2 linked regions of the Yarrowia lipolytica genome follow. The protein of the gene in region 1 interacts with the protein of each later gene in a biochemical or structural test. Links are inferred from orthologs where the notes say so. Each region holds a gene or a part of one and is shown on either strand. Other genes may lie near its edges.

Region 1 (4,280 bases):
GAGTGCCGAACGTGGGTCCTAAACGAGCTGCTCGGTACATTCGACGATGGCAAACTCCCGAGGCTATCATTAAGGCTCTTCGTATGGACGGATACAACTCCTCACCCGACTTTTTAGAACGATTCCATGCTGCCAACTTTACATTTCTCTACCAACGAGTCTACTGCCCCGAGGCTCGTAGGCTGGTACATTTGAATGAGCCTGAAGATGAGCTGGACGAAAAGGTCGACTTTCACATTGGCGCCGAGATTCCACAAGGTCTGGCGCGAGCAATAGCCACTGGACTGGTGCACCCTCGAACTCATAAGACTTTTCCTGCCAACAAGACAGCCAAGCCTACCGATCTACGGGGATTCTTTGCGCCCAAAAATGAGTACACAGGCGATGTCAAGCGACTTCCCGAACAGCTGCGCCGCAAGAAGCCCGTTGTTCTGGTGGCAAAGCCGGTTGACCTGGCTGTGCGAACAGCTTCTGCGGAGAACATGTTGAGTCCAACCCGAACGAAGACGTCCCCCGCGCTTACTTCCAGTCACTTTTTCTCCATCCCTTCGAGTCCCGATCAGGCTGAGAAGGAGAACAAGCCCTTCAACTTCAATACCATGTTGAGTTCAGAGCCTGACCGAAGCGACGATGACATTGAAGAAAGCAGCATCGTGTTTGGCACCCCAAACAAAGACACCACGCTACCGCAGACACCTGTGACTTGTGCCAAGCGGAAGTCTACTCTGTTTGAGGAGTTTGGATACAATGCCTCTACGCCCAAGCGTCGAGTAGTGACTCCTACAGGCTCCTCTGGTGTTGCCAAAAAGCCCACAATCACGCCCACAATCACGCCCAGTTCCACACCGCAAGCGCGTCCCAAGAAGAGCGCCATTTCTCCTCTGACCGTGCAGCGTGTTCCTGGCTCGTCTCAAAGCAATCTCATGAGATTTGCTTACAAGGCCAACTAACCTACAAGTACTAAGCTTCAGGGTTCTAGTTGACCATGCAGCATTACAGCAGCAAGCGCTGATAATCCCACGGGCTTGCTGCGCCCGATATTTAACTAATTTACATGGTCCAATTACAAGGGCCCGACGTTGATTGCAGTCTGAAATAGCAATCTGATTTCCTCCCCCAACGATGGCAGCCCCAAGAGACTCCCTAGCCTTGATTTCTGCTGGTGAACCGGTGCACCGGGGCTTTTGCAGTAGAGTATACACTGGGCACTGTAGAGTATGTCGTGCTTAGACGACGATATACGAGACGCGGTAGGGTGACTGTAGGAGGCATAGATTAGTTGACTTGGAGCGGGTTGCGGGTGTTCCAAACATGTGTTTTCGGTGTTTCCAACGCCGTATATGCGTTGCATGTAACCCCAGGCTCTCTTGACGGCTATTTTGCTTCCAGTGTACCGTCTGACCAATTATCACCATTTGCCCCTTAGTTCGTTAGTTCAGAGGGTGCGTGTACTAACAAACCCCGTTTGGGAAGCGAGGCTCAGAATCTCAAAGTATAATTGCCGGCAAAATTACCAATCTGACACACGCCAAAAAAAGAAGAGCCAAAGGTAGAGCGGGAGGGAAGCGTCAAGAGAAAGAGAGAAAGGTGCTGGTATGTCGCTGCCGGATCGGGGCAAGGGTCTCACACCTGTCACGTTGCTATGTAGGCTCCTATTACGTGGATTATGTCGCCCCTATATTGGTATTGTTGCACCGGACTTGTGCATCATAGCTCCCACCGCCGCCCTTCCTCCCCCCCGTTTTACCTCAATTTAGGTGCACTGTGCAACCCTTCTCACACACCCCTCCCACACAAAGTCTACTGCACTTTCGACGACTACACACACCACACTCTCTTGTAGCAACACAAGACCGCCGTCACACCACCACAAACGTCGACATCTCGAAAGCCTAGTTGGTCCATATCCCGGTGAAGCGACAGATTGGATACTTGACCGCCATTAATATACACACGTCTTCTGATTACCTCGACTAATAGCTAAGATGGGTGTTTGTGCGAGCTGCTGTTCAGGTGAGTATGGTACACAGACAGAGAGCGGGTCTTGCAAGGGCGAAGATGGCAGCAAGTGCTGCAGACAGAATGGGGCGACAGCGTATGTCTGGTCTCTCTTGTTCAGCTCCCCCCCGCCCCACAGTCGTCACTAACCCAGGAAACAAACAGGACGGCAACTACGCGCCCGTGCTGGCCGAGGACGAACGGGAAGCCGTGGCTCTCCTGCTGCGATACCTCGAGAACCGAGGCGAAGTGGACTTTTTCTCCAACGGGCCCCTCCGAGCCCTCAGCACTCTGGTCTACTCGGACAACATTGACCTGCAGCGAAGTGCCGCCCTCGCATTTGCAGAAATTACAGAGAAGGACATCCGGCCCGTCAACCGAGACTGCCTCGAGCCCGTGCTGCTGCTGTTGCAAAACACCGACCCCGACATCCAGCGAGCAGCCTCTGCTGCCCTGGGCAACCTCGCCGTCAACAACGAAAACAAGGTGCTGATCGTCGAGATGGGCGGCTTCGAGCCCCTCATCCGACAGATGATGTCGCCCAACGTGGAGGTGCAGTGCAACGCCGTGGGATGCATAACCAACCTGGCGACCCACGAGGCCAACAAATCCAAGATTGCTCGCTCCGGCGCTCTGCTGCCACTCACCAAGCTCGCCAAGTCTAAGGACATGCGAGTCCAGCGAAACGCCACTGGTGCCCTTCTCAACATGACCCACTCGGACCAGAATCGACAGGAGCTGGTCAACGCCGGCGCCATCCCCATTCTGGTGTCATTGCTGTCGTCGCGAGACCCCGATGTGCAGTACTATTCGACCACCGCTCTTTCCAACATTGCTGTGGACGAGTCCAACCGAAAGAAGCTGTCTAGCTCGGAGCCCCGGCTGGTGGAGCATCTCATCAAGCTGATGGACTCCGGCTCTCCTCGGGTCCAGTGCCAGGCTGCTCTTGCTCTGCGAAACCTCGCCAGCGACTCCGACTACCAGCTGGAGATTGTCAAGGCCAACGGCCTCCCCCACCTGTTTAACTTATTCCAATCCACTCACACGCCGCTGGTTCTTGCGGCCGTCGCTTGCATCCGAAACATCTCCATCCACCCTCTCAACGAGACCCCCATCATTGAGGCCGGCTTCCTTAAGACGCTGGTGGAGCTGCTGGGCGCTAGCGACAACGAGGAGATTCAGTGCCACACAATCTCCACCTTACGAAATCTCGCTGCCAGCTCTGAGCGGAACAAGCTGGAGATTGTCGAGGCCGGCGCCGTGCAGAAGTGCAAGGAGCTAGTGCTGGACGCTCCTCGACTGGTCCAGAGCGAGATGACTGCATGCTTGGCTGTGCTCGCTCTCGGAGACGAGCTCAAGGGTACATTGCTGGAGCTGGGAATCGCTGAGGTTCTGATTCCCCTCACCTTGTCGGACAACATTGAGGTGCAGGGCAACAGTGCCGCTGCGCTTGGCAACCTGTCTTCCAAGGTGGGCAACTACGACACGTTTGTCAACCACTGGAACGAGCCCAGCGGAGGAATCCGGGAGTTTTTGATCCGGTTCCTCACCAGCGGCGACTCTACGTTTGGCCACATTGCCGTGTGGACCGTGCTGCAGCTGCTGGAGTCCAAGGACCAGCGTCTTAAGGATCTGCTCAAGAACTCCAATGAGATTGTCGATGCCATCCACCAGCTATCCAGCATGAACTCTGATGGGGCTGACGGCGATGGAGAGGACATGCGGGATTCCAAGAGCGAGGTTGTCATGTTGGCTAAAAAGGTGGCTCCTTTGCTCAAATAGTAGGATGCGATGATTTATTATATATGGAGAAGGAAGACAACTAATGTATTTGTAATCGGCACTTGGAGTTGTAGATACTGTAGTTTCCATCGTCATATCTCCTTGGAGATAACACAAACTTTGTTATCGGTGTTACCTGTAATAGGCACAATGTAACCTTGTTCATTCACATGAGTGGATGAATAAAAGTGGAGGTGGTGACCTACAATTGTAGATGGATGACAATCTTAATGGGCCGGCTTCATAGACCAGTGGGGCCGTTGAGGGTGCAAACCGTGTTTTGATAGAGTGGAAAAAGCAACAATCGGGTGAGATTAAAGGTCACGTGTCCTCTTCCTGTTGGTCCGTCGGTCACTCTATGCTGTGTGTCCTCCGAAATGCTCCTGTTGTAGGCTGTGGTACACCCCCCTAGCACAGCCCCTTTAAACTCGGTCACCGTGCATAGATAGCTCCGATATAAGCATGCTCCCACGGGGAAAACAAGCCCACTACACCGACTT
Region 2 (3,474 bases), about 1.0 Mb from region 1:
CAAGGAGGCTGAGCCTGCCAAGGAGGACGCCAAGGAGCCCAAGAAGGACGTCAAGAAGAAGGGCAAGTCCGACAAGGATGAGCTCTGACTACATGGCTCCAAAAAGAAGGCCATTGAAATCTATGATAACCTGCGGGACCGTACCCAGGCCGTGTACCAGCGGGAGAAGCACAACGCCAGCTGCTTTTTTGTTTTTCTCTTCACCGCCGCTTGTGTGATTGCCATCAAGGCCCGAGGGTCTAATGCTATCAAGCAGCGAGCTGAGTAGAGTAATGTAATCGAGAATATGTTCAAGTGATAGTACAAGAACGAGTACATACTGTAGCTGTATGTACACAATTGAGTGGTACATCTACGTACTTGTATGGTATTAAAGGGTACAGTAATTTACCCGCATAGTATCTGTATACTGTCCAAGATCTGCCTGAATATGCATCTTTGTCTGAATGGGGTATAATATATCAGGTTAAATGCAATGTCTATATGCTGGAGGGGAGAGATAGCTTCCAAGAATTTGTCGGCCCCCGATTCATTCGTCGGCTACCTCTTATTCTCATTTCGTGTTGTTCTTATTGACCATGTTGATCAATGGAATGTCGTCTCCAGAGTCTTGGGCCTCGTCGTCATACTCATAGTGCTCCTGAGGAGGAGGCTGGAGATGTTGAGGAAGGTCGTACTGTGTGCGTTTTTGCTGTTGCTGACGCTGCTGCTTGATGTAGGCCTGGTTCTGGTCTCTGATTTGGACTTCCTTAGCCGCGGCCTCTCTGATCTTTTGCAGCACCTGTTTATTAAGGGGGAACTGGGTACCGTTGCCCCGGGCCGCTTCACTGGGCTGGATAGGCAGCAGCCACATCCACCACTTGTCGCCCATGACGAGCTGGAAGTTGCGTTTCCAGCCCACGTCAAACACGTTTCCGACCGTCTTGGACGTAGGCGCAAACGTGTATCTGTATGCGGCAGTGGGCACGGCAGACCGGTACTGGGTGCTTTCCAGAAACTCGACCGTGCTCTGGTTGTTGAACACGAGGTAGAGCGAGAAGGTGGCAAACGTGCCGACCGCGATGGCAAACACCAGTGCCAGGACCATGAGGATCATGACGTTGACGGATATTGCGCCCACGTAGTCTGTGTTTCCGTCCGGGCCGCGCATGGCACCAATCTCCAGAATGTGGTTGTAGAAGACAAAGCCCGTAGAGCCGAGACAGAAGAAACACAGAATTGTCACGTACCACAGAAACAGCACAAAGTACTTGTGGTTGTGGAACCCGATGGCCGTGGCAAACCAGGGGCAGTAGTGGTCAAACTTGAGCACGCATCGCTTGTAGTTTGAGCAGTGGTGTGATCGGTCCGGTTTCCAGCCGATGCATTTGGTGCAGAACCGTAGACCTCCATTCTCCTTGGCACACACGGAGTTAGCCATCTCTCGAGGAGGCGTGAGATGTTGGCCTTCGGCGCTGCATGCGTTCTGGTACTCAACCAGTGGCACCGAGAAGTTGTCGATGTCGGTGGGGCTTCCGGGGCCCACCTTGCATACTTTGAGATAGAGCACGTTGCACATGATGCCGATAGCCACGCCCGCCACGCCGTAGACGCGCCAGAAGGTGGTGTCGGACTCAAACAACTGCGGTTCCCAGCACACCAGCCATGCGTGGACCCAGCAGGCCCAGATGATGAGGAAATTGACGACGAGCGGCAGGAACGCCTTGGCGCCTATGAAGCACCATTTTTCGCATGCAAAGCAGCATTTGCGGCACTGCATTTCGGGGAGTCGAGTGTCGTGTGGCACGCGTAGGTTGGTGTGGTGATGGTGACGCACTCCACTGATACTAAGTTAGAGTAGATCAGATCAAATCGGTCAGACACGAAAAGTAAGGGAAAAAGAGAATCTCCAGGGTGAGCAGGATGTGTTTGTTGTTAACTGTTTTGTACACCGACCGATTGTCTAAGCAGATTGTCTCATATTCGATTATTCATCACTGTTACATGCCGTCTTATCTGGTCCATTTGCCACCATGGCTGTGCATACTCACTATATATGTACTAGCGCTACATATTCTACTATGCTAAGAATGATGAACTGGCAGAAATATTTGTATGTGGCATCCCCTCATCCTCGGTCAAATCAGAGATCAATTAATACTGGATCAACTACTTACTTGCAACTCATAATCTCGCTTAGTTGTACTTGTCGGAAAGGGTCTGGACAAGAGCAATGTACTCCTGCTCAGCCTCCTCCTGAGACTTGCCCTTGAGCTTGTCCCAGGCGTCCCACTTGTACTTGGCCTTGAAGTTGAAGGCGCCGGGTCGGTCGGTGTTGTTGTCGCCGACGGTGGCCTGCTTGTACAGTCCGTAGAGCTGTGTTAGTAGGGGAAAACGGGCCGGACTGATGATCGATATGGGCTGTGTTGCACCCTGGATAGCCCGTGGCACCCTGGTTCTGATGCGAACATGTGTCGTCAATTCAATCAATACATGTGCCCTTGTTAATGAGACACGAACAGACCCTCCGGGTATGCTCTCATCTTCTCTCAATACTCACCTCAAGAAGCTCGTCGTCGGAAGGAGTCTTGGGAAGCTTCTGCACAGAGTCGGCCTGAGTTAGTAACTTGGTTTTTGGAGCAATTGCGCCTTTGTGTCTGTGCGACTTGGTCGATCGCTCAATGGCGCCTGCTACTCACAGCGGCGGTGAATTCGGCGGAAGGCATGGTGGTAATGTGGGTGTTGTGTGGAGATGACGACACCTCGAGCGGTGTATATGGCGTTAGTTTTAGGGTTAGGGGTGTTACCAATGCGGCAACTAAGTGTGCATGCGTGCCGAGGTCCCATCACAATAGTGGCCCTTGTTGGAACCCAATCAATGCTGGGGGTTTTTGTTGAGACGAGCAAACGGACCTTTTTGTGGTAGCTGGGCGGCGCAAAGGGGGGTTTATTGTGTAATGTGAGCTGATCTGGAGTGAAAACTGGTCCCATTTAGTCCATTATACAGCTCTGTGAGCAACCAGAAAACAATGTGTTCTGACCCCAACGCTGTCTAGACGGGATCCAAGTGCATGATTAGCGCAATTAAGGGTGAAAAAGGAGATGAGATGGAGGGGAGAAGACGTACGATTGTTGTTGTTGTTGTTCGGTATTGATTGTTGTTGGATTTAGTTTACAGATTGTACTGCAACTTGTAGGAGTACGTACATGCTGTGGTTGGACTCTTGACCTCAAACTAAATACGTACATACTTCTAACTAGATAGTCAACCAAGGAACAACACGAGAGTAGAGCTCCAGTATATAGTTTAATGACGATGCTGTTCATATTAAAATAAAAAATGTGGAACTTCTGGAGAAGAACTGTGGTTATTACACCTCGGTATTCGGCCTCAGTTCATTATCGATGCTGATATACTTCCATTACGCTTTGATGAATGGCACCATATGACCATTATTATACAAGTGAACTGATGGTGCCTGAGGTCTATGCATT

What was found. The genes of interacting proteins can lie anywhere in the genome.
Region 2: of the proteins of YALI1_E17037g (region 1) and YALI1_E27273g, one has a biochemical effect on the other in vitro, tested with the Saccharomyces cerevisiae proteins (2 studies listed by BioGRID). The link is inferred for Yarrowia lipolytica from reciprocal best matches to the Saccharomyces cerevisiae genes VAC8 and PFA3.

Annotation. Positions count from the first base shown.
Region 1 is NC_090774.1:1,701,507-1,705,786, reverse strand, and holds YALI1_E17037g (uncharacterized protein), read left to right. Parts: upstream 1-2,019; coding exon 2,020-3,780; downstream 3,781-4,280. Other genes in the region: YALI1_E17065g (uncharacterized protein), read left to right, coding at 1-950. UniProt on the Saccharomyces cerevisiae protein: Functions in both vacuole inheritance and protein targeting from the cytoplasm to vacuole (cvt). Involved in the formation of nucleus-vacuole junctions (NVJs) during piecemeal microautophagy of the nucleus (PMN).
Region 2 is NC_090774.1:2,725,545-2,729,018, forward strand, and holds YALI1_E27273g (uncharacterized protein), read right to left. Parts: upstream 1,760-3,474; coding exon 554-1,759; downstream 1-553. Other genes in the region: YALI1_E27249g (uncharacterized protein), read left to right, coding at 1-88; YALI1_E27279g (uncharacterized protein), read right to left, coding at 2,176-2,355, 2,540-2,593, 2,679-2,705. UniProt on the Saccharomyces cerevisiae protein: Palmitoyltransferase specific for VAC8. Palmitoylates VAC8 at one or more of its N-terminal cysteine residues, which is required for its proper membrane localization.